Linked DNA regions of Mytilus edulis. The protein of the gene in region 1 purifies or fractionates together with the protein of each later gene. This does not show direct contact. Links are inferred from orthologs where the notes say so. Each region holds a gene or a part of one and is shown on either strand. Other genes may lie near its edges. The genes, in order: transcription factor Sox-2-like, BAG family molecular chaperone regulator 2-like, dnaJ homolog subfamily A member 2-like and T-complex protein 1 subunit gamma-like.

What was found.
Region 2: the proteins of transcription factor Sox-2-like (region 1) and BAG family molecular chaperone regulator 2-like purify together in Homo sapiens (affinity purification with mass spectrometry; 3 studies listed by BioGRID and IntAct, with this or other methods). This does not show direct contact. The link is inferred for Mytilus edulis from reciprocal best matches to the Homo sapiens genes SOX2 and BAG2.
Region 3: the proteins of transcription factor Sox-2-like (region 1) and dnaJ homolog subfamily A member 2-like purify together in Homo sapiens (affinity purification with mass spectrometry; 3 studies listed by BioGRID and IntAct, with this or other methods). This does not show direct contact. The link is inferred for Mytilus edulis from reciprocal best matches to the Homo sapiens genes SOX2 and DNAJA2.
Region 4: the proteins of transcription factor Sox-2-like (region 1) and T-complex protein 1 subunit gamma-like purify together in Homo sapiens (affinity purification with mass spectrometry; 3 studies listed by BioGRID and IntAct, with this or other methods). This does not show direct contact. The link is inferred for Mytilus edulis from reciprocal best matches to the Homo sapiens genes SOX2 and CCT3.

Annotation. Positions count from the first base shown.
Region 1 is NC_092346.1:79,535,753-79,543,135, forward strand, and holds the start of transcription factor Sox-2-like, read left to right. Parts: upstream 1-4,380; 5' UTR 4,381-5,823; coding exon 5,824-6,786; 3' UTR 6,787-7,383. UniProt on the Homo sapiens protein: Transcription factor that forms a trimeric complex with OCT4 on DNA and controls the expression of a number of genes involved in embryonic development such as YES1, FGF4, UTF1 and ZFP206. Binds to the proximal enhancer region of NANOG.
Region 2 is NC_092344.1:97,260,633-97,268,292, forward strand, and holds the start of BAG family molecular chaperone regulator 2-like, read right to left. Parts: upstream 3,007-7,660; 5' UTR 2,929-3,006; coding exon 2,712-2,928; intron 1-2,711. UniProt on the Homo sapiens protein: Co-chaperone for HSP70 and HSC70 chaperone proteins. Acts as a nucleotide-exchange factor (NEF) promoting the release of ADP from the HSP70 and HSC70 proteins thereby triggering client/substrate protein release.
Region 3 is NC_092348.1:49,350,867-49,357,998, reverse strand, and holds the start of dnaJ homolog subfamily A member 2-like, read left to right. Parts: upstream 1-4,107; 5' UTR 4,108-4,186; coding exon 4,187-4,255; intron 4,256-7,132. UniProt on the Homo sapiens protein: Co-chaperone of Hsc70. Stimulates ATP hydrolysis and the folding of unfolded proteins mediated by HSPA1A/B (in vitro).
Region 4 is NC_092347.1:37,354,398-37,362,073, forward strand, and holds the start of T-complex protein 1 subunit gamma-like, read right to left. Parts: upstream 3,006-7,676; 5' UTR 2,932-3,005; coding exon 2,910-2,931; intron 2,821-2,909; coding exon 2,759-2,820; intron 1-2,758. UniProt on the Homo sapiens protein: Component of the chaperonin-containing T-complex (TRiC), a molecular chaperone complex that assists the folding of actin, tubulin and other proteins upon ATP hydrolysis.

The DNA.
Region 1 (7,383 bases):
TCGCCTTAGAGTATGTTTTTTTACATCTTGGCACCAGGTGTGAAATCTGACATTGGTGTACATGTCTCGATATAAATCGCAACGCTGCAAGAAAAACTGTCACCGTGTGCATGTAAACTGATACTCTAGAACTAATCAGTTTATTTTTTTGATTTTTTTTTAACACGGTAGAATTTACTATGCCATGAGAGTGAAGCTTGCATAAGAGCAACCGTGTTTACATCAGGAAACAAGTCCCAGAATTTCCGTATAAAATAATCACTTTCATGCATATAGTGGACATCAGTAAAGCGATATGATGCATTTGGTTTATAATTACCCTAGAGATGTTGAAAATTAAATTTAAGAATGTTCAAAACTTTAGTTTATTTTGTTGATCCAAGATGGCGACGATAAATTTGCTGGCTTAACCTTTTACGTAGTATTTCACGGACGACTGCTTTGCTTTGTATCTATTTGGAAAAATACTTAACTATGTTTGTACATGTCATTACAGAAGCGTTTAAATTTCTTCTTTCTGTCTAGAATATTTGTTAAATATAAGCCATTTTTGAATTTGAACATACAAAAGTACTCTTCTATTTTGATACTTTCGTTGAAGATAAGACCTTACATTTCAATACATTTGTTAAAATGTTATCATTCTATCAAAAAGTACACTTATAATACACACTTTAAAATATATGTGATTTGAAAAAAGTTCACCATCTAAGGGTTGTGTATAAATCTTATAAGCTATTTATATTTAGTACTCTCATACCAAAATAGAGCAAATTTATATATATAAAAAAAAATATAGGGCTATCAGTTATTGAAAGAATTCTATATTTACTGCGTTAATTTTTGTAAACTTAAAATATTTGTAAAAGACATTTTCGTATATATTTTTTTTTTACAAATTGTGTATATATATATATATATATATATAAATGTTTAATCCCGTGAGCAATGCATTACCCGGTACAGAGAAAAACACATTTTTATAAGTTTTACATCAGTTTTCGTTAATGAATGTATATTGTATTTATATTAAAAAGAAGTCTGCCAGATATGAGGCAATTTTGAAATAATTAAGCATATCTTAATTAATTCGCGACAACTGTCTATACTATATATGAGTATTATTTTCTGGAAGTAATTTTTGATTCTTGGCAATAATTTTCAGATGTTTAATAATTATGTAAACAACTCGGACCCGTGTCATGTAACTTTTCGGTGTACATTTTGTTTTATCAGAACAATCAAGCAATCGTTTGAACAGAAAAACTTAATTAGATTCCAATCTCAGATTTGTCACCTTGTTTATATGAGAACCACTGGAAGGTAGAAAAATAGTGTAAAATAAAGAGAAAAAATGCCGTTAGTTGTGAATGATAATTTAGTTCTTTTCTACTTCCAATTAAATTGTACCTCACACCTATGAAAATAGACATATACTCTACGACCTGGAATTCAATTAATTTTCACCCTGTTTGTTTCCTGTCATTCATTAATTTGATAATTGAAGGAACTTTTTACCTTAATTTTCCGGGGGGTTCCTACCGAGATGTACCCGTTAATTAGACTAAATCAATTAATCGCATCCGCTTTCTACTATTGTCATATATAATTCCATTTTCACTTTCCGTTTATATGACAAAACGAGGATGTCAAGCGATTATCACTGAAAATAAAGATTATTTGGCTTGGCACATACATCAAGATGTCGCCAATTTATAAAATTCAAACTTAAAAATCAAAAAAGAAATGGAACTGTTTTGATATGGCCGATCATATATTAATCCTCAATATACACGATTCACATTGTACCTTCATATTACACGATTAGAAAATAATATGTCGCAGTAATATTTAAATAAATTCCACACTCTCCATAGCAATAATTTTAAAGCTTCTAAAGGAAGCAAGAAACAAAAAACAAAACCAGAAGAAAAACAACTTCTTTGATTCAAATACAATGTGCTTCTTTAATATATAAGGAGAATTTTAGGGGGAAAATGAAGTAAACGGACGAAAAAGTTAGAAGTATGAATTTTAATTGATATAATTAATCTAAATGATATTGAATAGTCTAGATAATAATTAAATAAGTATCATATTCATATAATGCATGTCACTGGAAAAAACCATCCGCCTCTAATCAAATAACTACATAGGTTAGATGATAAACTAAGGGAAAACTCATTTAGAATGAACAAATGAATAAAATACTGCTTCTGGGAAAATCATAGTGTTTTAAGAATTATGAAATATCGTTTAAACAGAATTACAGTATAGGTTAAATTATGATGATCATTTGGTATTTTCTGTTATTACAAATTTATGACATACAAGTATTTCCAGGTTTAACAACACCAAAAGTAGATGAAAACTGATCGGTTGTGTTTTATTATTTATTTTACCTCTTTTCTAACAAATCAAAATAAATTAAAGTTGTTTTTATGATTATTCCAAAATAAAACTTTACGATTGTTTAAATGTTGTTAAATTTAGATTGTTTTTGATTTAATGAAAAATACCAAGATTGTCACGAAAAACAATAAAATCTTGTATTTGACACTACCTATAATACTAAAATTAAGGTCCAATTCTTCAGGTGTGGAATGTATTACACAGTTTATACTTATTGCCGATTCTTTGATCTCAATTTTCACATATGAAAAGGAAAAGTTTCTCAGCTGACTCACTTTTAGTTGACCGAAGTAATTAACGAACATTGTGTTTAGATCCCCCATTTCTTTATATCTCGTTGACAACGCACGATGCCTAGGATTTAAGAACAATGTAAAGGATAAAACCCTTAATCCTCTGCTTTCTCTACTTGGCGATGGGGGTAAATTTCATAAACTATTGATAAAACTATTCTATAACACGTGCAAATGTTTGTTTCAACTTATTCTTACTTACCATATACAGCTGAATTATTTATATAGCAAATACAAAGTAGAAATAAAGTCAAAATATAATATTTGATAAATATTTTAGGATTATATTTTGAAGTTTCATTTTCTTATGTTTACCCCTATAAATGCAGAACTCTTATTGCAAATATTTCATTTTTGTTACGTTTACCCCAATATATGCAGAACTCTTATTGCAAACATTTCTTTTTTGTTATGTTTTACCACAATATATACGGAACTCTTATTGCAAACATTACATTTTTGTTATGTTTTACCACAATATATGCGGAACTGTTATTGCAAATATTTCATTTTTGTTAAGTTTTACCCCAATATATGCGGAACTCTTATTGCAAACATTTCATTTTTGTTATGTTTTACCACAATATATGTGGTACTCTTATTGCAAACATTTCATTTTCGTATGTTTTATCTGAATATATGTGGTACTCTTATTGCAAACAATTAAGATCAAAGCTGGTACGCATTTCAACAAGTAGATCATAACACACACGTCCTAAACTAAGGTAAAAAGCCCGTGTAAATGTTTATATTTTTAAATGTGGGTCAATTCCTTAATTTTTAATTGTATCATTGTCCTCACGGCCAAGGTCAGAGTAGAACTAGACGTTTTTGATTCCTCTTTTGACCAAATTACAATGGCCATTCAATGTTCTATTGTTTGCCTTTCTCAATACTATAGATATAAAATACAATACAAAAATGTAATTGAAACCTTTTATAACATGTATACAAATGTATATCAAAAGAAATAAATACTTTATCCCTTTTACTCTTATATAAAGAGTTACTTTTGTATACATCGAATGATATTTATATTTGCGGGCAATTAAACACGCTGTTTATAAAAGCAGTAAACAAATTTACCGTTACCGTCTTTAAATGAATAGAACAATTCCAAAGAAAGAGAAATCTGTTACAAAATATTTAAAAAGCAGGTAAGAGATTTTTTTTTGCATGTAGAAATTTGAAAAATTGCAGCTTTTAGTGATAATACTATATCTTTTAAAAAGAGGTCAGTTGGCCGTAATTTGGAAAGAAACCAGAGATGTTTTTAACAAATGTAAAGTCACGCGTATAGCAGCATTTCTGTTTGTGATGTTTGTGATGTTTGTTACATTATGAATTATACAGGACATTATACAATAATGTTAGAATGGTGGTTACAGATGTAACAACATGTTAAAAGATTTACTTATAGAAATGATAAAAACCTAGGTTTAGTCTGCCATGCATGGCTTTGTTTTGGTTAGATGCTACACACATAAGACTTGTCAATGTTTCTCCCGTACTGGTAAAAAATATCTACGTTTTAGTAGAATCGCTTCTGTCTTTTATATCATTTGTTAGATTTTTAAGTTACAGATTTGAAACAAATTTACAAATTTAGGGGTCTGAGGTTTATGGCACATACTGCGCAAGTCCCCTTCGTTCTAAAATAGAGATAATAATGATAATAATAAAACAATAATGTGAATGATAATAAATTAAAAAAAAGATGTTTGTTTATGTTTTCAAAAAAGTTTATCGTAAACAGTGGACCTGATTTGATTCTGCAAAACTTTGGGGGGGGGGGATCAAATTTACACTACTGTCTTAATTCAACGGTGGTTGAGTTAACCATATTAATTTATAGTGGTTTGGGGAAAAAGTTATTGAAACTTATATAAATCCCTTCCCACTTTGCGGGTGCAAGTGCTGCCTTGTTGCGACATAGCCTGCTCTATTCTGAAATCTACAACGCTGGTTTTGCCTCCATATCACTGAAAATTTAAATAAACAACAAAATAACAAAACAAATTCAATGCAATTCTTTTTTTAAAATTTGTTATTTTTTTTTCTAGTCTGTTTAATTGTCTTTCATTTTATACTGTATAGATAACATGCTTCTCCGCCACCCGTCCGCAAGAGCTTCCAACACGCTTCTGGGTAAGAATAAGATGATGTTTATTTTCTATCAATCAGGGCGCAAAATACAATAAGAATTCAAATCTAGATTCTTCATAATAAATTAGTATTTTATAATCAGATGCTGATTTTTTTTTTTACATCAATACTAACTGCTGAAATTTTAATTATCGACAGATAAGCTGTTAGTCCTTGCTTGCTATAAAAGTGTCTGTATCGCCAACTGAAGTGAGATTTCTTATTAAAGAGTCTCTGCCCCCCTTTTTATCTCGGTTTTCAATTTGAAACCATAAAACTATAATTAGAAGAAAAAGGGCTCTTTTCATTATTTATTTTATCATTATGAATTTTTTTTTAATATAATGACATTGGACAGAGATTGGACTGTTGTACTATTTCAGGTCCACGTTTAAATGCGTTAGAAAAAATACAATTATTCCCAAATCATTACACAAAATTTTATTATTTTTTTAATGAGTAACTTGAATTTTATATTTATTAAAATATTTTGAAATGTAATGAAATATAAAAATAACAACACCTGTAAAAAAAATTCTAACGGATAATTTTTCATCTGCATGTCAATATTAGACCATGCCCACTTTTCACGACATGAGCGATTCTCAACATGATTGAATTCACTCAATTGTTTGGATACGACAATAAACTTTACCTGCGAAGTCCCGCCCACTTTTTAATATTACCGTGAATAACTCGCCAAAACCAAGAAAGAACTAATTTGATTGGACGGGGCAGTGTCTATTTTTCACTGACGAATCGATATCCCTTGTTTAGTAAACCGTATTAGCCAAAAGAATAAGAAGAAGTCGAAATTATAAGACCTGTTTTATAGTTTGGTAGTGAAAGCCGTATTGAGATTTATCATTTATTGGACTTGAACTTATTCAAAAGCTATTGACTATCTTCAGTTATTATAATCAGTGTATTGGACTTGTATAAAGCACGTGGAACACTGTTCAAATTTTATAGTATGGATAGTGACTTATCTAAACAGGGACCAACTACAACTTTACCACCAGCATCACAAGGAATGCATGTGCCAGTTACTGGAGGTATGAACATGCATCAACATCCATCGCAACAACAAGTACATTCTCCTCCATCTCCGGACATGAATGGACAACACAACAATAACAACAATGGTCTTGGTAACAAGAAAGCTGACGATCGTGTGAAAAGGCCCATGAACGCTTTTATGGTGTGGTCTCGTGGTCAGCGAAGGAAAATGGCCCAGGAAAATCCTAAAATGCATAATTCTGAAATTAGTAAGAGACTTGGTGCTGAATGGAAATTGTTATCCGAATCCGAAAAGCGTCCGTTCATAGATGAAGCTAAACGTCTTCGAGCAATTCACATGAAGGATCATCCTGATTACAAGTACAGACCGCGCAGGAAAACAAAGACCCTCATGAAGAAAGACAAGTACGCTTTACCCGGTATGCCCGGCAGTGGAGGACAGCTGCAGTCTGATCCAAACAGAATGTATCCCGGAATGAATGGATATATGCCGAATGGATATCCTATGAACATGATGCACGATCCAAATGCCTATCATATGGCAAATCAAATGGGACTAGCTCAGTATGGCAATTATTCTATTCCAGCTCAACAAATGTCTGCTAATCAGATGACATCCGCATCATATATGAATGGGACCTCAAACTACACAATGTCCGTAGGAATGAATCCGTATTCTATGTCTCCATCACAGGTTCCTCCGTCCGTAAAAAGGGAACCAAATCAACCACAAGTTCCAGGACAACCCCGTCAAGCAGGAGATTTACGGGAAATGATTAGTATGTATTTACCGGGAGATGCCAACGATCCAAATAGTGCCGCTGCTCACCATAGACTTATGCAACAACATTATCAGCAAACGGCGTCATCGGAAGCTGCAGGGGTAAATAACACTGTGCCACTGACACATATGTAATATTTTCTGTTTTTTTAATTTGTTTTACAAATTTGTGCTGCGAGAGAAAACATTATATTTCCCATTATATATATATTGTTTATCATTTTTACATTGTTGAATGAATGAACGTCGAAATCCATGACATTTGTAAGACTGTATAGCATGTTTGAAAAGCAGACAAATCGAATGAGACGAGCGCGTGCGTGTGTGAATGTTTATTTGAGTTATATGGTGCGAATTTTGCAAAAAAAATGTGCTGAAATTATTGAAAATAGATCTATATAATTTTATTACAATCATTACAGAAGTGAACAACTTATTTATACACGAACTGTTGAAACGAGATAATTTTGTAGAATATATTTAGCATAATAAGTCGGATTCGAAATTCGCCAAACAAATTTAGGGAAATTTTCCACACATATATATATTTGCTCACGGTAAATTCAATTTTCTTGAAGTAGGTTTGTAAGTATGATTAGATTTTGTTTTGTTTATGTATTAAATCGTGGTAATGTTCCGTATATATTTTTATGTTTAAAATTTAATTTTTAAATATATTTCAACTTTATGTGGCTCTAGGTTTATATGGTAAAATGATTTTGTTTGAACTAA
Region 2 (7,660 bases), on another chromosome or scaffold:
AATATTGTTTTAAGAAAACTTATATCTAACACTGCTTTAGAATAAACAAAAAGAATCATTGGCGGATCCCTTTTTTTTGGCCGATCAATGCATTTGAATGGGGACATATAGTTGGAACCCCCCCTTTATCCTGTGTTGGGACCCCCCCCCCCCCCCCCCTTTTTAAAATGGCTGGATCCGCACCTGAAAATTCAAAAAGATTTATAAATTTCAAAATTAAAGCATATATACATGTATATATATTATAGACTTTAATATATATATATATACCGGTATATATATGTCTATTCAATGCAGTGTACAATGTACTTAAGATAAATATATGTATAGTCTTTTTTTTTCTTCACTGTGAATACCACTGTCACTCTAATATAATTGTAATCAATTTAACTATATTGTCAGTTCATTGTCTTCATTTTGTATGCCATAACCATTTAATGTAAATGTGTTTGTGCTAATAAATATTGCCTATTGTCTTAAGATGTTAATGTTTAGTACCGGTATTTGTTCCAAAGAAATAAAAGGATGGTCAACGTTTTCTGGGGAACTTCTGCTAGTACTAAAGGAAGGACAAATATCTGTTAAGTATTTAAGTAAATGCTGTCATAAGGCTGCATACTAGGATTTGCAGGAAAAGCCACCAAAATGAATGGCTACATTCTATATACATGGTATACATATGTACTAATGTATGTATAAATGTTTAAATTATCATTGCTACATGTACATGTATGTTCATTAAATAATTTTGTGTTCATAATGATATACATTTTTTTTTCAAATATGAAAACCGAGTTATACAGGGTAATGAAGAGAGGAGTGTCCATGTATCCTGATGCTATATTATAATACACACAATTTGCAAAGAATTTGAAAGATGTTAAAATCTGTGGCTAACATTGAAAAGTTATTTTATGGTTACCGTTCATTTCTGTATGAAATTGGGTCATCCTTCAAAATACATATATACAGTTTGTGGCAATTGTCTCATTAGTCATTTGTTAATGTAAAAAATTATTGCGTATTGTTACTGCATGTACTTTTTGCGGGTAACTAAGTCCAAATAATTATGAGGTCAGGCAAGGCTATTTTAATTTTTTTCTGGGACGCATTCCTACGTAGGAAACGTAAGAAGGCGTCCCAGAAATTTTTTTAAATAGCCTTGCCAGATGTTATAATTATTTGGACTACGTGACAGGTAACTGTACCCAGGGGCAGTGCCATATTTATCATTTTTTATAGGGCTTCTGTACAATTAACGGTAAATATGGTCCAAAGGAGAGTTTTTAAGGTTCATCATAACAAATGGACAGTTATGGCTGTATTTTCACCTCAAAAACTACTCTGTGTGCAGACTTACCTGTGCTGTTTGGAAAGTTTTAAGGCCTAGCATCCACTAGATATATAAATGTTAAATGCATTTTGTGTTTAAAAAAGATAAAATTTTCTTGGTTTGGTGGGCAATTTTTTTCCTTTCTGCAGAAGGTGTAAAAATAACAAACACCTGAATTACTTTATGATACTGTCCACTCAGATAAACTCTTTAACTCACTTATAGCAGTGTATAGTTGTGAAGATACCTATTTTTCATGTCAATTAAGGACAATCAAAACAATACATTCATGGGCACAATTTAGAACTGGTGGACTCAGCAAAATATCTAGGCGTCACAATCCACAAAACTATTAATTGGAACACCCACATAAAGAGTATAGCTAAAAAGGCTAATTCAACCAGGGCCTTCATCCAAAGAAATCTTCAGCACTGTCCCCAACAAACAAAAGCTGTATGCTTCACAACGCTAGTAAGACCATTGCTTGAGTATGCATGCTCAGTCTGGGACCCGTTCACCAACCTTAACATACAGAAATTTGAAAGTGTGCAAAGAAGATCAGACCGTTATGTATTGAACAACTACCAACAAACCAGCAGTGTAACATCAATGCTAAAAACTCTATAGTGGCAACAACTAGGGGAGAGGAAGGCCAACTGCAAAGCAGTAATGATGTACAGGATAGTAAATGGCCTTGTAGCAATACCAACGCTAGAGCTACATGTACACACTATGTATCATCCGTAGCAAGAGGACACACAACACGATTTTTCATACCCTATGCCAGAACTTCAACATACAGGCATTCCTTCTTTCCAGACAGCATATAGATATGGAACAGCCTCCCACAACCTTTGGTAGACAGTACAAAAATGTACATCACTAGATGCTTTCAAGCAGGGGGTACTGAGCGGCAGTATCCCTTAATCATTGTTAATCGCACCATCAGACCATCTTGCACCTGTAAATATTTTCTTGCACCTTTGTTGTCACACCCAGCATGGGCAATAATGCGATAATACTCAATTAGAGGACTGCACTGTATTGGACATGTTGGAAGAAGAAGAATACAAACCAGGTTTTACCTGAGCGAGCATCTCAAAGTTGTACCACAACTTAGTTAACTGGTTAATTTTCACACCTAATGCATGAAGGAAAAAAATGACCATCAAATTCCAAAAGAGATTTTATCTTTCTGCAGAACAAAATGCATTTAACTTTAATATATCTAGTGAATGCCGGGCATTAAAACTTTTCCAACTTCACGGGTAAGTCTTTACTCAGAGTAGTTTTTGGCATGTAAATACAGCCATATTTGTCCGTTTGTTATGATGAACACACACACACTCTTCTATAGGTTCCAAGATATGTTGTTTACCAGTTGAAATTTCTAGGTTGAGATCATTGTCCTGTATTTTTTGGAGAGTTGCTAGTATTGTTTCTCTTTCTTGTTCCATTGCAATAGCCTGTTCTCTCAATTTTTCAACCCTCCTTTCCACATCATCCATTAAATTACTTAAGTATGATTCCGAATTTTCAGATATTTGATCAAATCCTGGGTATTCAATACTAAGAAGTTTTTCTTTAGCTGCCATATTGTCTTTTTAACTAGAAAGTGAAAACAACAAACAGAACAGTTTTTAATTTCCGTACATTTTAAAAGACCGGTACGTAGTATGATTAGAAGTTTTTACTTACTTCCTGTCGACAGAGTTAGAATATCCCCCGATTCTACCACGAAGAACCACAATAAGCACCACGGACTTTATCAGTAAAATAAATACATTTGGGCAACTATGAGTTATTTAATGTATACGTAGATATTAAGATACATCAAATAATCATTAAATGAAAAGTTAAAATAAAAATAATTTAAATCGATTTTTTTTTTAATATGAACTTCATTAATCAAGGATTTGTATAGTCTAACTATATATACAAATCCTTGCAGTAATTAAGCACCACAAAAAAACAAACTGAACACCACGGGACGTAATTTCCCTCCCAATGGTCCAACAGACGGGTTAAAGAGTCTAAAATACTCTTTGGGGTCCAACTTGGTTTGTAAGGCCCATTGGTCCATATGCACCTGGGGTTCAATCTATATATCTATGGGGTCTTTTAGGGTATATTTCATTAAAAAAAAATATAAGCACCACCGAAAACGGACTTAGCACCACGGGAGGTAGCTTCCCTCCCATTGGTCCAACAGACAAGTATATGGGTTTATAACACTCTTTGTGAGTCCTAGTTGGTTTGTAGGGCTCATTGGTCCACACGCACCTTTGTTCCAATCTACAAGTCCATGGGGTCCTTTAGGGTATATTTGATTAAAGAAAAATATAAGCACCACCGAAATAAAACTTAGGACCACGGGAGGTAGCTTCCCTCCAATTGGTCCAACTGACGTGTATAGGGGTCTAAAGCACTCTATTAGGGTCAAAGATGGTTTGTTAAGCTCATTAGTCCACAGGCACATATGTTCCAATCTACACAAGTCCTGGGGTCTTTTGGTGTATATATCATTTAAGAAAAATATAAGCACCACCAAAAATGGACTTAGCACCACGGGAGGTGGTTTCACACCAATTGGTCCAACTGACGTGTATAGGGGGTTAAAGCACTCTATTGGTGTCTAAGATGGTTTGTTAAGCTCATTAGTCCACAGGCACATATGGTCCAATCTACACAAGTCCTGTGGTCTTTGGTGTATATATCATTTAAGAAAAATATAAGCACCACAGAAAAAAAACTTAGCACCACGGGAGGTAGCTTCCCTCCAATTGGTCCAACTGACGTGAATAGGGGTCTAAAGCACTCTATTGAGATCTAAGATGGTTTGTAAGGCCCATTGGTCCATATGCACCTGCGGTTCAATCTATAAGTCTATGGGTTTTTTTAGGGTATATTTCATTAAAAAAAATATAAGCACCACCGAAAACGGACTTTGCACCACGGGAGATAGCTTCCCTCCCATTGGTCCAACAGACAAGTATATGGGTGTATAACACTCTTTGTGAGTCCTAGTTGGTTTGTAGGGCTCATTGGTCCACATGCACATTGGTTCCAATCTACAAGTCCATGGGGTCCTTTAGGATATATTTGATTAAACAAAAAATATAAGCACCAGCGAAATAAAACTTAGCACCACGGGAGGTAGCTTCCCTCCAATTGGTCCAACTGACATGTATAGGGGTCTAAAGCACTCTATTAGGGTCAAAGATGGTTTGTTAAGCTCATAAGTCCACAGGCACATATGTTCCAATCAACACAAGTCCTTGGGTCTTTTGTTGTATATATCATTTAATAAAAATATAAGCACCACAGAACAAAAACTTAGCACCACGGGAGGTAGCTTCCCTCCCATTGGTCCAACAGACAAGTATATGGGTGTATAACACTCTTTGTGAGTCCTAGTTGGTTTGTAGGGCTCATTGGTCACATGCACCTTGGTTCCAATCTACAAGTCCATGGGGTCCTTTAGGGTATATTTGATTAAAGAAAAATATAAGCACCACCGAAATAAAACTTAGCACCACGGGAGGTAGCTTCCCTCCAATTGGTGCAACTGACGTGTATAGGGGTCTAAAGCACTCTATAGGGGTCTAAGATGATTTGTTAAGCTCATTAGTCCACAGGCACATATGGTCCAATCTACACAAGTCCTGGGGTCTTTTGGTGTATATCATTTGAGAAAAATATAAGCACCACCAAAAATGGACTTAGCACCACGGGAGGTAGCTTCCCTCCAATTGGTCCAACTGACGTGTATAGGTGTCTAAAGCACTCTATTGGGGTCTAAGATGATTTGTTAAGCTCATTAGTCCACAGGCACATATGGTCCAATCTACACAAGTCCTGGGGTCTTTTGGTGTATATCATTTGAGAAAAATATAAGCACCACAGAACAAAAACTTAGCACCACGTGAGGTAGCTTCCCTCCAATTGGTCCAACTGACGTGTATAGGGGTCTAAAGCACTCTATTGGGATCTAAGATGGTTTGTTAAGCTCATTAGTCCACAGGCACATATGGTCCAATCTACACAGGTCCTGGGGTCTTTTGGTGTATATATCATTTAAGAAAAATATAAGCACCACCAAAAATGGACTTAGCACCACGGGAGGTGGTTTCACACCAATTGTTCCAACTGACGTGTATAGGGGTTTAAAGCACTCTATTGTGGTCTAAGATGGTTTGTTAAGCTCATTAGTCCACAGGCACATATGGTCCAATCTACACAGGTCCTGGGGTCTTTTGGTGTATATATCATTTAAGAAAAATATAAGCACCACCAAAAATGGACTTAGCACCACGGGAGGTGGTTTCACACCAATTGGTCCAACTGACGTGTATAGGGGTTTAAAGCACTCTATTGTGGTCTAAGATGGTTTGTAAAGCTCATTAGTCCACAGGCACATATGGTCCAATCTACACAAGTCCTGTGGTCTTTTGGTGTATATATCATTTAAGAAAAATATAAGCACCACAGAACAAAAACTTAGCACCACAGGAGATAGCTTCCCTCCAATTGGTCCAACTGACGTGTATAGGGGTTTAAAGTACTCTATCGGGGTCTAAGATGGTTTGTTAAGCTCATTAGTCCACAGGCACATATGGTCCAATCTACACAAGTCCTGGGGTCTTTTGGTGTATATATCATTTGAGAAAAATATAAGCACCACAGATTTTTTTTTTAGCACCACGGGAGGTAGCTTCCCTCCAATTGGTCCAACTGACGTGTATAGGGGTCTAAAGCACTCTATTGGGGTCTAAGATGGTTTGGTAAGCTCATTAGTCTACAGGCACATATGGTCTAATCTACACAAGTCCTTGGATCTTTTGGTGTATATATCATTTTAGAAAAATATAAGCACCACAGAAAAAAAACTTAGCACCACGGGAGGTAGCTTCCTTCCAATTGGTCCAACTGACGTGTTTAGGGGTCTAAAGCACTCTATTGTGGTCTAAGATGGTTTGTTAAGCTCATTAGTCCACAGGCACATATAGTCCAATCTACACCAGTCCTGGGGTCTTTTGGTGTATATATCATTTAAGAAAAATATAAGCACCATTGAAAATGGACTTAGCACCACGGGGGGTGGTTTAACACCCATTGGTCCAACAAACGGTTAAAAGGATCTATAATGCTCTTTTGGGGGTCTAACTTGGTTTGTTAGGCTCATTAGTCCATATGCACCTGGGGTTCAATCTATAAATCCATGGGGTCTTTTAGGGTATATTTCATTAAAGAAAATATAAGCACCAGCGAAAACGGACTAAGCACCACGGGAGGTTGCTTCCCTCCCATTGGTCCAACAAACGAGTAAAAGGTTCTAAAATACTCTTATGGGGTCTAACTTGGTTTGTAAGTCTCATTGGTCCACATGCACCTTGGGTCCACTCTACATGTCCATTGGGTCATTAAGGGTATATTTCATTAAAGAAAAATATAAGCACCACCGAAAATGGACTTAGCACCACAGGAGGTGGATTCCCTCCTATTTGTCCAATAGACTAGTATATGGGTTTATAAAACTCTTTGTGAGTCCAAGTTGGTTTGTATGGCTCATTGGTCCACATACACTTGTGGTTCAACTTCCAACTCATTATGGTGCTTTAGGATATATTACATTAAATACAGATATAAGCACCATCAAAAACGAACGAAGCACCACGGGAGGTGGCTGGCCTCCCATTGGTCCAACAAACGGGTAAAATGGTCTAAAATATTCTTATGGGGTATAACTTGGTTTGTAAGGCTCATTGGTCAACATGCACCTGGGGTCCACTCTACATGTACATGGGGTCCTTTTGGGTATATTTCAATAAACAAAAATATAAGCACCACCGAAAATGGACTTAGCACCACAGGGGTAGCTTCCCTCCCATTGGTCCAACAAACAGATAAGGGGTTTTAAAATACTCTTTGGGGTCTAACTTGGATTGTAAGGCCCCTTGGTCCATATGCACATGGGGTTCAATCTATAAGTCCATTGGGTCTTTTAGGGTATATTTCATTGAAGAAGAGAAAAGCACCACCAAAAACGAATTTAGCACCACAGGAAGAAGTTATCCTTTAATTGATATAAGATAATAGGCCCAGGGTCTAAAGCACTCAAGCATGGTCCACCAGCTTTTCTAGAATAGTCTACAAGTTAAAGAAATCCACCCATCTCATCTATTTATAAGCACCACCAAAAGGAAATAAGCACCATGGTTAGGAGCTAGCCTCCAATAGGTCTACGCCTCAATGTCAATGGTCTTAAGCGATCAGTTTGGGACTAATCTGATAAACACACCATATAGGTCCACTAGACTTGCTAAA
Region 3 (7,132 bases), on another chromosome or scaffold:
TGGTAACTGAAATTGTATAACATAATTTTCAGATACTCATACAAAGCCGATAATATTCGCCCGAAGCTTTTGTCAAACAATACATGTCCAATAGGTTTCTATAGTAAATTAGTATTTTTTTAATAAGGCCATCAAAAATTTAATATTAGATATCTGGCAAGTCTTTAAATGCATATATATGAGAAAACCTTGTTATATTTTGAGAACAACATTGAAAAAATTATGCTGTAAACTAAATACAGGAAATAAAATGTGTAATAATTTATATAGATCTCTAGACTCTACGGCTAAAGGGAGATAAATCTAAAGCAGAAGATATACATTTTATGAAGCATAGAATTATTAATCAATCGTGGCGATTTTCGGGATCTGAATATAAATCGTAATTCGTTATCTCAAATGGAATTTTTTTTTTCAAACGTGTCTTTTCCGTCCAAAAGCCGGTGAACCCATAGTTGGTTAATCTGGAATGCCATGTTTGGGAATATTATACTACTATAGTAACTTAATTATAGTCCTAGGCCATGTGCAGGGGATTCTCCAGAAATTTTTGAACAAAACCATTTGTTTAATCCATCAATAGGCCTGAAGGAATTACAAAGAAAGATCACAGGCACTTACTTGTCTCTAATTCTTTTTTCTCAACTATATTACTGTATATAATATAACATATACAGATGCAATAGAAAAGTAAAATAAAAAAATACCGAAATCCATTGAGAATTCAAAATGAGAAGGCCAAGATATCAATTGACAAAATGAAAGGCTCAATAATTGATAAACATGTCAAAAATAAGGGTACACTATAAAATTGAGAACGGAAATGAGGAATATGTCAAACAGACAACAACCCTACCAAAGAGTAGATAACAGGGGGAGGCAACCAATGGGTCTTCAACACAGCGAGAAAATCCTGTACACTTAGGTGAGCTGCAGCTGACTCCTAACTATAAATGTGTACAATATATATAAAAAAAAAGAAGATGTGGTATGATTGCTAATGAGACAATTCTCCACAAGAGATAAAAATGACACCGTACGGCCTTCAACAATGAGCAAAGCCAATACCGCATATATAAAAGGCCCCGAAATGACAATGTAAAACAATTCAAACGAGAAAACTAACGGCCTTATTTATATAAAAACATTAACGAAACACAAATATGTAACACATGAACACACGACAACCACTGAAATACAGGCTCCTGACTTGGGACAGGCACATACATACATAATGTGGCTGAAAATGGACGTCACACTCAACTCCAAAACATATAAATTGACTAAAATTTAAAAAAAAACATACAAGACTAACAATGGCCAGGCTCCTGACTTGGGACGGGCTAAAAAATGTGGCGGGGTTAAACATGTTTTATGAGATATTAACTCTCTCAAATGTAGAATAAAGAAACACACAGCAATACGTACAGTAAAGCTCAGTTTAAAATAAGTCCTAGTCCGATGTAAGAATAGGTAACTTGGCAAAAAAAAATAAGCAATATGTCAGTAACTGCTATAGTAGCATACTTAATTTATGTATCCATTGTTATCTTGGGTATTTTTCTTCAGTACAATGAAAAATTAAGTAAATGTTTTGACTAGTTTGTGATATTGAAAACCACAAATTTAATAATTTTTCCGTAATTCAAGGATTTCTTTCGTTAAAATCTAATACGTTGTTACATACACGAGCAAACCGAACAATTAAAGTCATGTGAAACCGCAAATTAAAGAAAAAAATATGCATATTTTTTTTATAACTAAATGGATAGTTTTCATTATAAAACTTATGTACATATACTTTTTTTGAAGAAAATTCTTTAATTTGTCCACATTTAGAAGAAGTTTTCTTTTTTTACAATTGCTTGCTTTTAGGAAGCAATTCGCCGAAATATTTTTCGCATATGCAAGTGACCTTAGCGTGACCCTCCTAGTAAAAACCCGGTGATCGCAATACGCATGGATCTGTCATTGAAATAATCTATGATCTGATTGTAAATGTTATACACGTTCTCAATATCCATACTTCTTTGTTCCCATGATTGTTTACTATAAGGTGACAATCGGTAAACTACGTCTTCAAAACACGGCGATTAATAAGCTGACATATTTGTTAAATCATAACAAACAGAGAGAAAAAAAGTTGACGATTATACGATATTTTGGCGTAAGAAATGTTAAAATCGTGCACAGAAGACTAAGTTTATGATTTACTACATGCATTGGTAATTTTTCACAAGTCATTCGTTTCATGTTGAGAAATATAAACACCATAAGATGGTGACATAGGTTAGCGTCACCATCTAAAAATGGATATTAAAAATTGTGTTATAATCTTAATTATTTTAAAAAATGTCAACAAAGAAAAACAAAATGACATACATATATATACAAGGCATATTAGCAAATATAAAAGACGAGAATACAAAAAAATGACCAGCGCACAATAACATGCAAACTCTAGAATACCGAATGAGTTTGGGAATGTATATCCTATATGCAGGTGAAGTTGGTATTTTGCCACTAAGGTTGGGAAAATTGATAATTTCAAGATTAAAATCGTCTCGCTTGTCATAGATTCTGATACTGAGATGACTTCTTATGTCAAATTCGAGGTATAAGTCTAAAAACCAGCCGAATGAAGCTTTTAAAAAGAATGCATGAAATTTGACAAAAAAAAAGATAACTTTTTTTTAGAGACAAGTACATGTAATGGTAACTCTTGATTTATAAAATTGATTCCAACTTCATCTTCGTTGAGATCTGCTTGCAAAATTTTAAACGAACTTATTATCAATGTCACGCTTGGTGTAAACAGAGACATATATATCTCTAGTGTAAATAATGATACTGGTGCATCAGTGCTCATTCATTTTGACAAGTCGGACCCATTTTTGAAGTAAAAAATTTTAGTAACCTGAGCTCGCTATCTGAATGCTTACAGCGGTAACTGATAACACATATCGATCGTGCATACGCTATTACTGAGAATGACAAAGATGTTCGGAAAACCAAACTTCATTGTTGCGTTTCTTGATGCTTTCGGTTCGGCTGATTTATGATCATTTATGACAATGTGTGGGGTTTTTTGGTTTGCCAAGTTTAACATATATCTACGTTAACGATAGTACACTTGAGTTAACCAAGTCAGGATTATAATGTACAATCGATATTCAATTGACTAATTCGTGATGCTGGCCAAGTTTCTGGATAACAAACCTTAGCCATCACATACTATGTTCATAAACAAAAATCGTTCGTAATACTCATTGTACGTCAGTGCTTTTGCTGATATGTTCATGTTTTTTCCTGGAACTTTGAATAGAAGTTTAATTGTTAAAATAAAAAAAAATCGTTAAAACTAAAAATAAAATATAGAAATCAGAATCAGAGACATATAATACAATTAGTATATAGTATGTGTCTCTGTCAGAATAAATGACAAATCATTGTGATTTTGTCTTCTCAGTCAGGGACTTTCTATACTAACATATAGTATTAAAAGTCCCTGTCTCAGTAGCACTGAAAAAAAATTCAAATTCATCATGAATATTAGCTAAATTGAAGAAAAAAAGAAAAACACATTTAAATTTGAGAATCGTCTTTTTGTGTCACCACTGAAAAAGAGTATATCCGAATTATAGTTATTAACTTCTTTGTCCATTAATGTATCCTGTTGTATCTCGGTCGTACGGATGTATTGCCGCGAGCACAGTCTTGATTACACCATTTAATTCGTCCAGCCTTTATAATAGACTTTTTAAAATTCATATAGAGTAAGGGCATTATTTCTTAAAATTATATTCAAGTCAGAGTGTTCAATGCAAAAGATATTATAAGTTTGATTAAGAGAGTTTTTCATACCAATTTTTTCACACAAAAGGGGGGGGGGGGCCTTTTTGTGTGAAAAAATTGATCGGTTATATAGGAAATTATATAGGGAATCACCGAAGCATGACTGGAGCGGGCCCAATCTTAGGCAGTCAGTGGGTACCACCTTATGAACATTTCTGGATCCGCCACTGTTGACATTGTCTATTACAAAATTTCCAGTACATGTATTTTAAAAAACTTCAAAAGATTGGAGGAAAGAGACTTCAAACGCGGGAAATATTATTTCCCCTTAATGTAGCAACCGCTAGTTCCTGTCATAGGTGGCAGTGCTTGATCATCGAACCTCGTGAAAATGGCAGACTCAAAATTATACGACATTTTAGGCGTCAGTAGATCTGCCCAAGACAATGAAATCAAAAAGGTATCAATGAAAAAGCAATAGTATATGTCAATCCTTACGCCTTATCTGTACCTGACTAATTTCAAATATGAATTTTGTCACTTTCAAAGGCGGATGGTGACTCAGGATTTCAGTAAGAAAATTAGAACGTTCCATGGTTTGAACTTGCACAATGATAAATTAAACTATATGTATTACCCACAGGTATTTGGGGCATGGACCCCCCTTTTTTGGACCTCTCTAAAAAAAAATTGGTGTTTTTTTATTTATTTTCAATTTTCTAAAAATGTATCAAGTCTCAACAATCCATTGCTAGTCGATTGCAATAACTTTTTTACTATCCATACGAGCCCCAAGTGAAAAAAGAAGAAGGTAATTACCTTCGATGACTGACCTACTTTCACTTTGGAGGATCAGGTCAGGAAATCGATAAAAATTTCATATAAAAACTCACTTACTTTTCATAAAAAGTACATCCTTAGATTCATGAGATATTTTTCTCAACGTTTAAATAGGTCTGCGGAGGTTTTGTGTCTTGTTTTACTGATTTTGTTCTACAATTGTCGTCCATTTGAACCTCCATTCACGGAAGTGAAAATACAGCGCCATCTGCGTTGTCTTTCGCTATGTTTCTATAACTCCGTTTGACTAAACTGCTTTCCTGTTTTTATGCCCCACCTACGATAGTAGAGGGGCATTATGTTTTCTGGTCTGTGCGTCCGTTTGTACGTCTGTCTGTCCGTTCGTTCGTCTGTCTGTCCCGCTTCAGGTTAAAGTTTTTGGTCAAGGTAGTTTTTAATGAAGTTGAAGTCCAATCAACTTGAAACTTAGTACACATGTTCCCTATGATATTATCTTTCTAATTTTAATGCCTAATTATATTTTTTATCCAATTTCACGGTCCATTGAACATGGAAAATGATAGTGCCGAGTGGGGCATTCGTGTACCTTGGACACATTCTTGTTGGTTACCAGTTTTACATATGGGTTCCGAATGCAATGTAGCTATAAGAAAAGGTAAGAGATATGGACCATAATTTGCTATTGGGCTCCGTTTCCTATAACTATAGAAAAGTGATAAAATGTGAATTACTGTAAGAAAAGTTGTAACTACATCTAAAGATGCCATTATTTTTATCAACATACAAGTGTATGCTACTCTTCCCTAGAAAAAAAATTGAAATTAACAAATTTCAAAGATTATACGACCGTATTTGTGTGTCGTTTCTCGCGTTACTTTTCGCGTCCGAAGTGCATAACGCTGACTAATTTATAGATAATCGTCACCGGCAAATTCGTAATTTTTGCTTTAAAATAACAAAGAACATCGACCAATAAGAATAGTGAGAAGAAAATGCCGAGAACTATAAGTATTTCTGTAGCAGGTGTAAGAACACTGTCGTTATTTTGGTTTCCCATTTCGTAACGCACATTTTAGATGGTTTAATCTGCTTTGTTGTAAAAGAATTCTTTGCAACAATATGCTAATACGAACTCTCGCGAGATGTTCAAACAGGTAAATCAGAGATGATTTACATTCTTGTTTTGTTCTTCGTAATAATTAAGTTAGAAAATGACGTTATCGTTATGCGTTACATTTCACACGAAACAGAAGTCCATTTATTTATTAAAATTGTTTTTGTCGTTAAGTTCTAATCATTTCCGGTCATACGTGAAACATGTGACTAACATGTGATCACGCCCTTACAGCCGGATATACGAAATACTAGGTCTAAACATTGTATTTGTTTCCAACGGGATGTAAGCAAACATAATCTGTAGGCTTGTTTCGTCTTGTTTAAAAAAGGAAAATACAATTTTCAAAGAGATTGCGCCGGGGGTCTATTATTTTTCCCATGTGCATAATGTTACATACGATCTTGTGTGAAAATAAATGCCCAATGACTTGACAAAATCGATTTCAGATTTGACCGACGTTTTAACACACTTCGTTTCCCAATAACGATGTGAAGGGTCCTTGGAAAATTCAATCGAAATTACGTCTCCTATCATGGTGCCAATGTTCGTTGGATTGATTTAGCTTCAACAGTAAATATTACTGGATATTTTAGGTGAATAAAGATAATTTAATAAAAAATACATGTTAATGTACCGTTACACTTGGAATGTACAAAGTTGGTATCTTTGTCACAATTTTTAATTAATTTTTTTTATTCATGTTCTGCAAACACTTATCAGAAACGCAATAAACTTGTCAAAGGAAAAGTAAACTTTTACCATGCATTACTTGAAAGGAAGTACTTTATTGATTTTAGCCCACTAAAGTAGGTTAAAATGTGGAAACCATGTAGATGGTGTACAGGTCACAAATATCACATGGTGCCTATTTTAAAGATGCTAATTCCAAGTTAAAAGTTGTTTTCTTTACTGGATTTAAAGAATTTTACATTACCAATGATTTGGAATAAATTGTATATAACTGGAATTTCAAAACCAAATATAAATACATTTTTTTGGCTAAAACATCAAGATACAACGATTATGGTATCCTGTATCAATGAAGAAAATACGGAAATTCCTGAATAAATTGTACTAATTGTTTTCAAAACAAGCACATATTTAGGAGTTTTATAATACTGTTACATTTAAGATGGATTTTAAGAAAAAGTATACTGTTCAGATCATTTTAAGCAGATTTTGCAATAAAATAAAACTAAAAAAATGCTTTCGGTTTCTTATGGTTTCCTGTCGCGTTTAAAAAAAACTTTAATTTAACATTGAAAATAGATTTTAAATATTAACATGAAGCAAGTAACACTAGTAATGGTGTTCATTTATGTCTTTTGAAATATATTGTGCAAAATAAAGAAAATAAAGATTGGTTTCCTGTTTTGTTTCCTGTCACGTAAACGGTGAATCAAAATGTATTAATTTTTT
Region 4 (7,676 bases), on another chromosome or scaffold:
AATAGAATTTGACTAATTCATGAAGGCATTGGTGCACATACATGTACTAAGACTTCTAACATCCAAACAAATGGGAAGCAACTCTCGTGCAATTTCTGTCAAACAAAAAATATCCATAACAAATGAACCCAATAATATCAGAATTAACAGTAGCAATTTATATCAAATCTTTGGTAAAATTATACGAACTTGGGCAAACTTAAATGTTTAGGTAGCAATACAGTTAGGAAAAAAACTTAAAATTGACACTCATAATTTTAAACACCCTCTTTCCCCTCCTGTCTAGCAAATGAGGCTTAATACTTGTGTTATGCATGTATATATTTATAGAAAGAGAATCTTCCATAGATTTGATTTCTTATGGTCAAAATGGTAAAATATAATACCTTTTGGGTATAACCATGGCAACAATCTGCATTTCTTTGATAAAAAATATAGCAAAAAAGGGGGGTGAACATGTCACAATAGTCTCCAAAATTTGGTCCATAGGAAAATTTCAATCAATTACAGTGATACCTTCCCTGAAACCATAGGTTTATATCTATTAAGTGGTCCAAAAAAAATCATATGCATTTCTGCCTGATTTTCCACAAAATTGAATTGAAAAGATCGAGTGCAAAATCTTTGTTGATAAACACTACGATAATTTATGGACCTATGGGCAGTACAGATAGGAAAATACAGACTGTCAAACAGATAAATGGCCTATAAAACATGCTAAAAACAATCTAAATGTTCATATAAACCCTATAAGAAGGCTATATTGTTCTTCAATTATCTAAAAGTCAATTTTATTGTACAAAAACTTTCATATTTAAAAGATTCACCATGGCCATAATGTGAAACTAAACTTGGATCTCCTGTAGTTGGTGATCGCAATACTGGTATACCAGTATTGTCCACAATACTGGTATAAAAATTTTGTACCAGTATTGTAACTTTTTTTAAAAAAACAGCAATACTGATACATTACTGATATACCAGTATTGTAGTTGTATTGTTGACTATATACTTTAAGGTGTATAATGAAAATTGAATTTTAAGCAAAATTAGATATTGAAGATCAAAGGGAGATTAAATGAATTCAAAAAGATTATAGAGGATAATTGGGAAATCAATTAACAACCAGTTAAATATAGATTCTACCACTGCATCGAGTGTAATACGATATTTATCCACTCGAGACAGTTAAATTTTCAAATTTAAAACGCGAGGCTTGCCCGAGCGTTTTAAATATTTAAAATTTAACTGTCGAGAGTGGATAAATATCGTATTACGCGAGATTTGGTGGTGAAATCTGTTTCTCTAATGATTTCCTAACATTATGCATGCAAACTTATTCCTTCTATTCGAATGATCTGCAAAAAGATGTGTTCTTTCTATGTGACGTCATCAGGCATGGTCGCCTTTTTTCATGCCGTCACAATAGGAAAGCAAAAAAATTCGACGTCATAATCAGATTTAAACCAATGAAGTACTGAGATCAAACGAACCACACGTTGATTAAATTTTTTTTATACAATAGAAAGGGATAAATTGACGAAGAATTAGAGAAAAATAAGTACAATACTTGTACAAATCAACAAAAGATTATTGTAATTAACTCATATTATTCAACAATTGTTAGTTATATAAATAATTGCTAAAAATCTTATATTTCTATATTTTATTTAATTCAATTCAGCATTTACATGTATGCCATCGTATATTTTTTTACAGATATATTTTAATACATATAAATGCTGAATTGAATTACATAAAATATAGAAATACTGGTACAAATACTCAAATACTAATACTGGACAAGCACTCCTACAGTAAGAGAGCTGACAGGTGCTACATGTATCTAAATAAGCTTGTAACCTAGTAAGCCTAAGAGAAAGTGCATAGACTGAAATACATTAATATCAAAATAGGAAGTGGGGTGGCATAAATGCCATCTGAAGAAGAAATAAACAGTACCAACGTGAATGTGATAATACATGAAGCTTTTCATGTATAACAGTATTAAAGTCAATATAAAATTCACTAAAATATACTTTTGTCTTGGAAAGAGAGAGCTGGAGACATTGAAGAAAGCAAAGAGTTTGTTAATATGCTGAGACAGTAGTACTGAGTACAGATACCATCGACGATACCTTGAATGACTGAATAACACTGTTAATTTCCAAATAACACTTGAAATTTTAATATTAGCACATATTATTGGTGACTTTTTTTAAAACATTGAATATTAAATAATATTATATTATAAACATGATAAATATAATTTATAAGTTAAACATCCAATCATTCCATTTAAAATTGTCATGTCATATGCATTATGCATATATATGTGACACCTTTCATAAAAGATTAATTACCTACAAATGTATATGTATTGTTTATTTAAAAAAAAACCACAATACTGGTACAATACTGGTACAAAAATGGACAATACTGGTTTACCAGTATTGCGATCACCAACTACAGGAGATCCCTAAACTTCTGTGTATAATTTGCTACCTTATCCTTCAGGACGGATAAACCTGGATTGGAACAGAACACCCCCCTTTTTTCAAGTTTTTGCCAGTAAAGTAATTTTCCATTCAATTTTTGGAATGTTATCTCAGTAATTTGTCATAATTATATGAAGAAAATTTACAAAAATATAGACAAAATGTAACCAATAGTGCAGTTACAGAAAAAAGGTGAATTTTCTGGAACATTCTTATTTTGATATGGCTATGGCGACGACCATGTGAAGACATGTTCATACCTTTCCTGCAGCAATGTTGCCTTTCTGTACAACCTTGCCGGTTTCCCGCTTGGTGTTTTGGTCTGTAATATAAATAAAAAGGATTATCAGTTGAATGATTGAAATTTTATTCGATAATAGGGCGTCGCGATACAAAATATTAGAAACTTACTGAGTACGATTATTCCAGACATGCTTTTTGTTTAGCCGGAAATCAAGTGGCGACTCAATAAATGAAGTCCGATAACTCGGAATTTCCCGCCACTTTAGCAACACTTTAAAACATTTTTTATCAGCACTGCACTAAGAATTCATGTTTTAACTTTTAAATTTTATTTGATAATTTCAATTTTTTATTTTTTTTCTCTGAAAGGATTTTTTTTAACATGGAGTGAATTGTTTAGGGTCTGGATGGGGTCAGTTCTCGAGGGTCAGACAGTTACACTGAGAAAAGACAATAAAAGGTCAATTCTACAGAAAATGGATAAAAAAAATATTGAAGAATAATAGTGTGCTTAAATATAGGGAATAATTGGTAAAGTTTATCAAAATTAAAAATTAAACGGCCGAAAAAAATACTCGGACAGAGCTGATACTACTATGATATGTACTATATGTACATGTAATATAAGTGACTTCGTTTTTTATCGGATATTTTTCAACCGATTTCAACATTGATAGTAAAAAAATATTCTATCATGAAGAACGTTGAAAGTAAATGATATGAAACTCCGAAATCTTATATTAATTTATAGGACTACCATTCCAGACCCTCGCTATTCAGTCATATAGATTTACACTGACAATATACTGAATTTATTAGGTATTTGCTTTTTAAAATGACAAATAAAAACCCAAGGCATTGAAGAAGAAACAGCAATTCTTTTTTCATATATAATCATATATAAAATATGTATTTATTGTTAACTTGTTCTCGTCCTGAACATGCATGAAATATTTGCCACTGGACGTTGAACAACTCGACTGAAAAATCAATCAATCAATCAATCATAACGATCGGCACACTTTGATTGTCAACGGAATAACGCATGCATTATATCCACTGCAGTGAGTGATCCAGGGGAGGGTTCAGGGGGTTGGAAGTTTGGAACCCCCTTTTTTGGACGATTAATGCATTTGAATGGGGACATATGCATGGTTGGAAACCCCTCCTCCTTCTACTGGGCTGAACCCCCTTTTAAAATGGCTGGATCCGCCGCTGCACTGCATAACACAACTACTTATAATCTGTTCCTCTCATTTATTTACCAATAATAGCTAATATTTCATAACACAAAGTATATATGTACGACTCGAAACTCGGTGTGCGATGGGGACGCTGAGGCTCGATCGATGGTCACGGTGAAGTGCGATGGTCCGTTCGCTGATGTGCAATACACCTTATCGCTAATCCCGGCTGACCCGGCCGCTTGAACTTTTGACGCACACAACAATCACTTTTCCATTGTGAAGTCAGATATTTTGCTTTATGACGTCAACATTTAACGGGAACCTGTGCAATTTCCATTAATGGCGGACAGATAGCGACAAGGTGTATGGTCTATATGCCGCTTTGTTTGAAATATACAGATCTAGACGTGTTAATATTCATTTGTTTTATAGATATATATGGTATATGAATTGTGTATGCATGTCCTTAGTTACATATGCATTCTAAATCACTCTCCGTATTCCGTAGTTTATTGGCCCCTTATTAATTAAGAAACCCGAAAAACTGCCGCTCTACAGCAACACAAAATGTATCGTCGACCTAAAGCAAACAAACTTCCTTCTTCCAGTGACGCATTGAAATCAAACGTTAATTTGTTATTGTTTGTAACCAAATTGATTTTTCGATTTTATTCAGATATCTGCAGACGATTTCCGTCCAAAACGTTTCGAAACCACAAACATATAAGAACTTTAAACTGACAGTCTTTGAAATTGAAAATTACGAATTAAAATTTGAACGTGGCCAAATTTTGATGAGGATGAGACGTTACTAAGTTGTAAAACTTGTGTCCGATCCATTCGTTATTTTGAACAATAAAATATGTTTAAACTAAACGAAAGTGTAGAAGAAAAACTATGCATATTTAATTTTGCTAAAATCAATAAAGCGAAACTGAATTCCATTTTATCTTTGATTGCCCTTTGTATACATGCATATATATTGAATGTCGTACGTATTTTGGTGAACTTTTAATTGAGGAAAATTTCTCAGATTCGAATCACACTGAAAAATTGAACTTTTCAATGACTTTTCACTAAAGAAAATGAGCAAAAATATATAGTTCGGACAATTCCCATAAGACGTCATGTGCAGTTGTGGCTTTAAATACCAATTTAACACCTTACAAAAGAGTTGTTATAATTTTCGACGAGTACGATCACACACACATACGCACTTATCATCAACTCAAATCAAATATTTTATTATTCCAATCAAGGTCCAACAGAGGGCATTTACAATTAACAACTATGATAGTTTAAGCAACAACCATAAGACATTATACAGTATTTAAAACTACCCGTTCAACTGAACCAATTAAGAGCCTAAACGCAAATAAAGAAAAAATGAAAAATGGTAAAAAGCTCTTCCTTGTTCTATATGACATAAGCGTTCATCGAGTTCCAACCAAAATGAGAAGAATCTGTTTTACGTTGTTTATTTTGATTTTAGTCTAGGCTAGCACACATCCACAGAAACCACACGAGTATCTCAGATAGTTTAATTATAAGCATGGCAGGGCCGTAACTACCTATGAGGGAGGGGAGGGAACTGCCTCCCCTGAATTTTCTACACCAATTTTTTTTTATTGAAGTAATAAAATGAAATATTGACAATGAGAACTTGAATTTATATTTTAAACAACACAAGTTTACAGTTTTAACAGTGTTATCATGATACGTGATATATTTGTCCTTTTTCTGGATTTTTGATCGAAAGTGAACCGTTTCAGTATTTATTTTTTGGTTTTTTTTTCGTGTGGCCGTCCGTCTGTTATTCAGTATTCGTACGAGATCACATATGAACTTTGCTTCCGACAATTTTGAATAAAACTTAACTATTCACATTTATTTAGGGGCTCAATTAAGCAGAGAAAGTTCCCTTTGAATTGTGAATTCTTTTATGATATCGGAAATTCGTCACCAGCTGAATCAGATGTTGGGTGATTTTTTTAACTGCGTCTCCCGATCGTACGAGAACATTATGGTCAATGCCTTATTAGTTAAACAATCCCATTCGTTGTAGCAGTGACTTTCTATAGTAAGTATATATAATACTAGACTGTATTGAAAGTCCCTGGTTTTAGTTATATACATGTCTGTTCAGCTTTCAACAATATAGAAATTCAAGGTCCTCGATAAAAAAAAATTATCTTGCGTTCTATGATCTTGCTTTATATGTTTTTTTTAACTTACTAGTTTGATTTCTAACAAAAGTATCTTTAAATACAGATAATAATTATTTGCATAAAAATTGCTTCCAGGATCCACAATTACTGATGTTTCTTAAAGTAAGGAGATCGAAGGAAAACGGGTCATTTTTAGCCATATTGAGAAAAAGAATCCGCGGTCACAATGTATTTAATGTTAATAATTATAGGCCAAAGTACGGCCTTCTAACGGAGCCTTGGCTTACCCCGAACAGAAATCTCAGGTTGTTTTTGCATACAAATTGTTTCCAGGTTCAAGCAATACCGATGTTACTTAAAGTAAGGAAATCCAAGGAACACGGGTCATTTTGAGCCATTTTACTGAGAGAGAAAAACGGCAGGGGGCTGTGTCCCCAAACCCCCTGTCTTTGGGATCTCAATCGGCGGTCCCCAAACCTCTGCCTCCCCTGAATTCGAACCCTAATTACGGCCCTGCATGGTACCTTTGAAAACTATGATAACCAAATGATAGCCCTTCCATGTTTTCAAGCAATTTCTGTTTAAAACAATGTCATAAAACTATGAAAATTTACAATTTAAACGTGAGAAAACTATATTGACATATATAACTATGACAATATCATATACAGGTACTTATTTCATATATGACTAAATAATTACATTATAGACAAAATTATGACAATGTACATATCATATAGTCTACACTATGACAATGTCATATAATTTGAAACAATGTCAAAACTTGTTCAAGCATCAAACACGTCAACCTTTAAAAGGTAAGATAACAAAAATCCCAAAATCCGAGCGAAATTCTAAACGGAAATTCCCTTAGCAAATGTCAAAATGAAAAGCTCAAACACATCAAACGAATTGATAACAACTGAATTGAAGGCTAAATCAATAGACTATAACGCCAGTTTGCCAAACCTTTAAGTTAAAATTTCTTCTTAACGGCCTTTAGTGAACAACATCCAACCCCTCAAAAAAGCAAGATGGCATCGAGTATTTAGGGTAAATAGTTCCTATGGACGAATACTGTTACATGTAATGCAGTACAAGCTAATCTTTATTTGTCACCTAAATATGTTTCAATGACATTTTTGTATAATTTCTGTATTGTACCTTCGATATTCATTCACTTAGATACACGGAATTAACTGAAACTCGTAAATCGATACGTTTCCTTAAAAATCAACATTAGCTTGTACTGCATTACATATAACAGGATTCGTCCATACCAATTTTGAACAAATACAGTCATCTAGCAGGCCTCAAGATTTTTTGGAAAATTTAGTGTCACCACAAAAACCGGTTTGGCCACAACATAACAATTTCAAGTTTGTTTACATGTATGTATATGTTAAGTATGTTCAAATAAACATATGTTCCCACAGTTAAGGACTTTATTCATCTTAGGTTGAGAAATAGAGGCAAAGTTTTGATGTTTATGCAGTGTCCTATTTTTTTACTTTAGTTGAACCTTCATGACACTCGTCGTGGTGAAGAAAGGCGATGTAATGATAGCTGTACATGTGTTC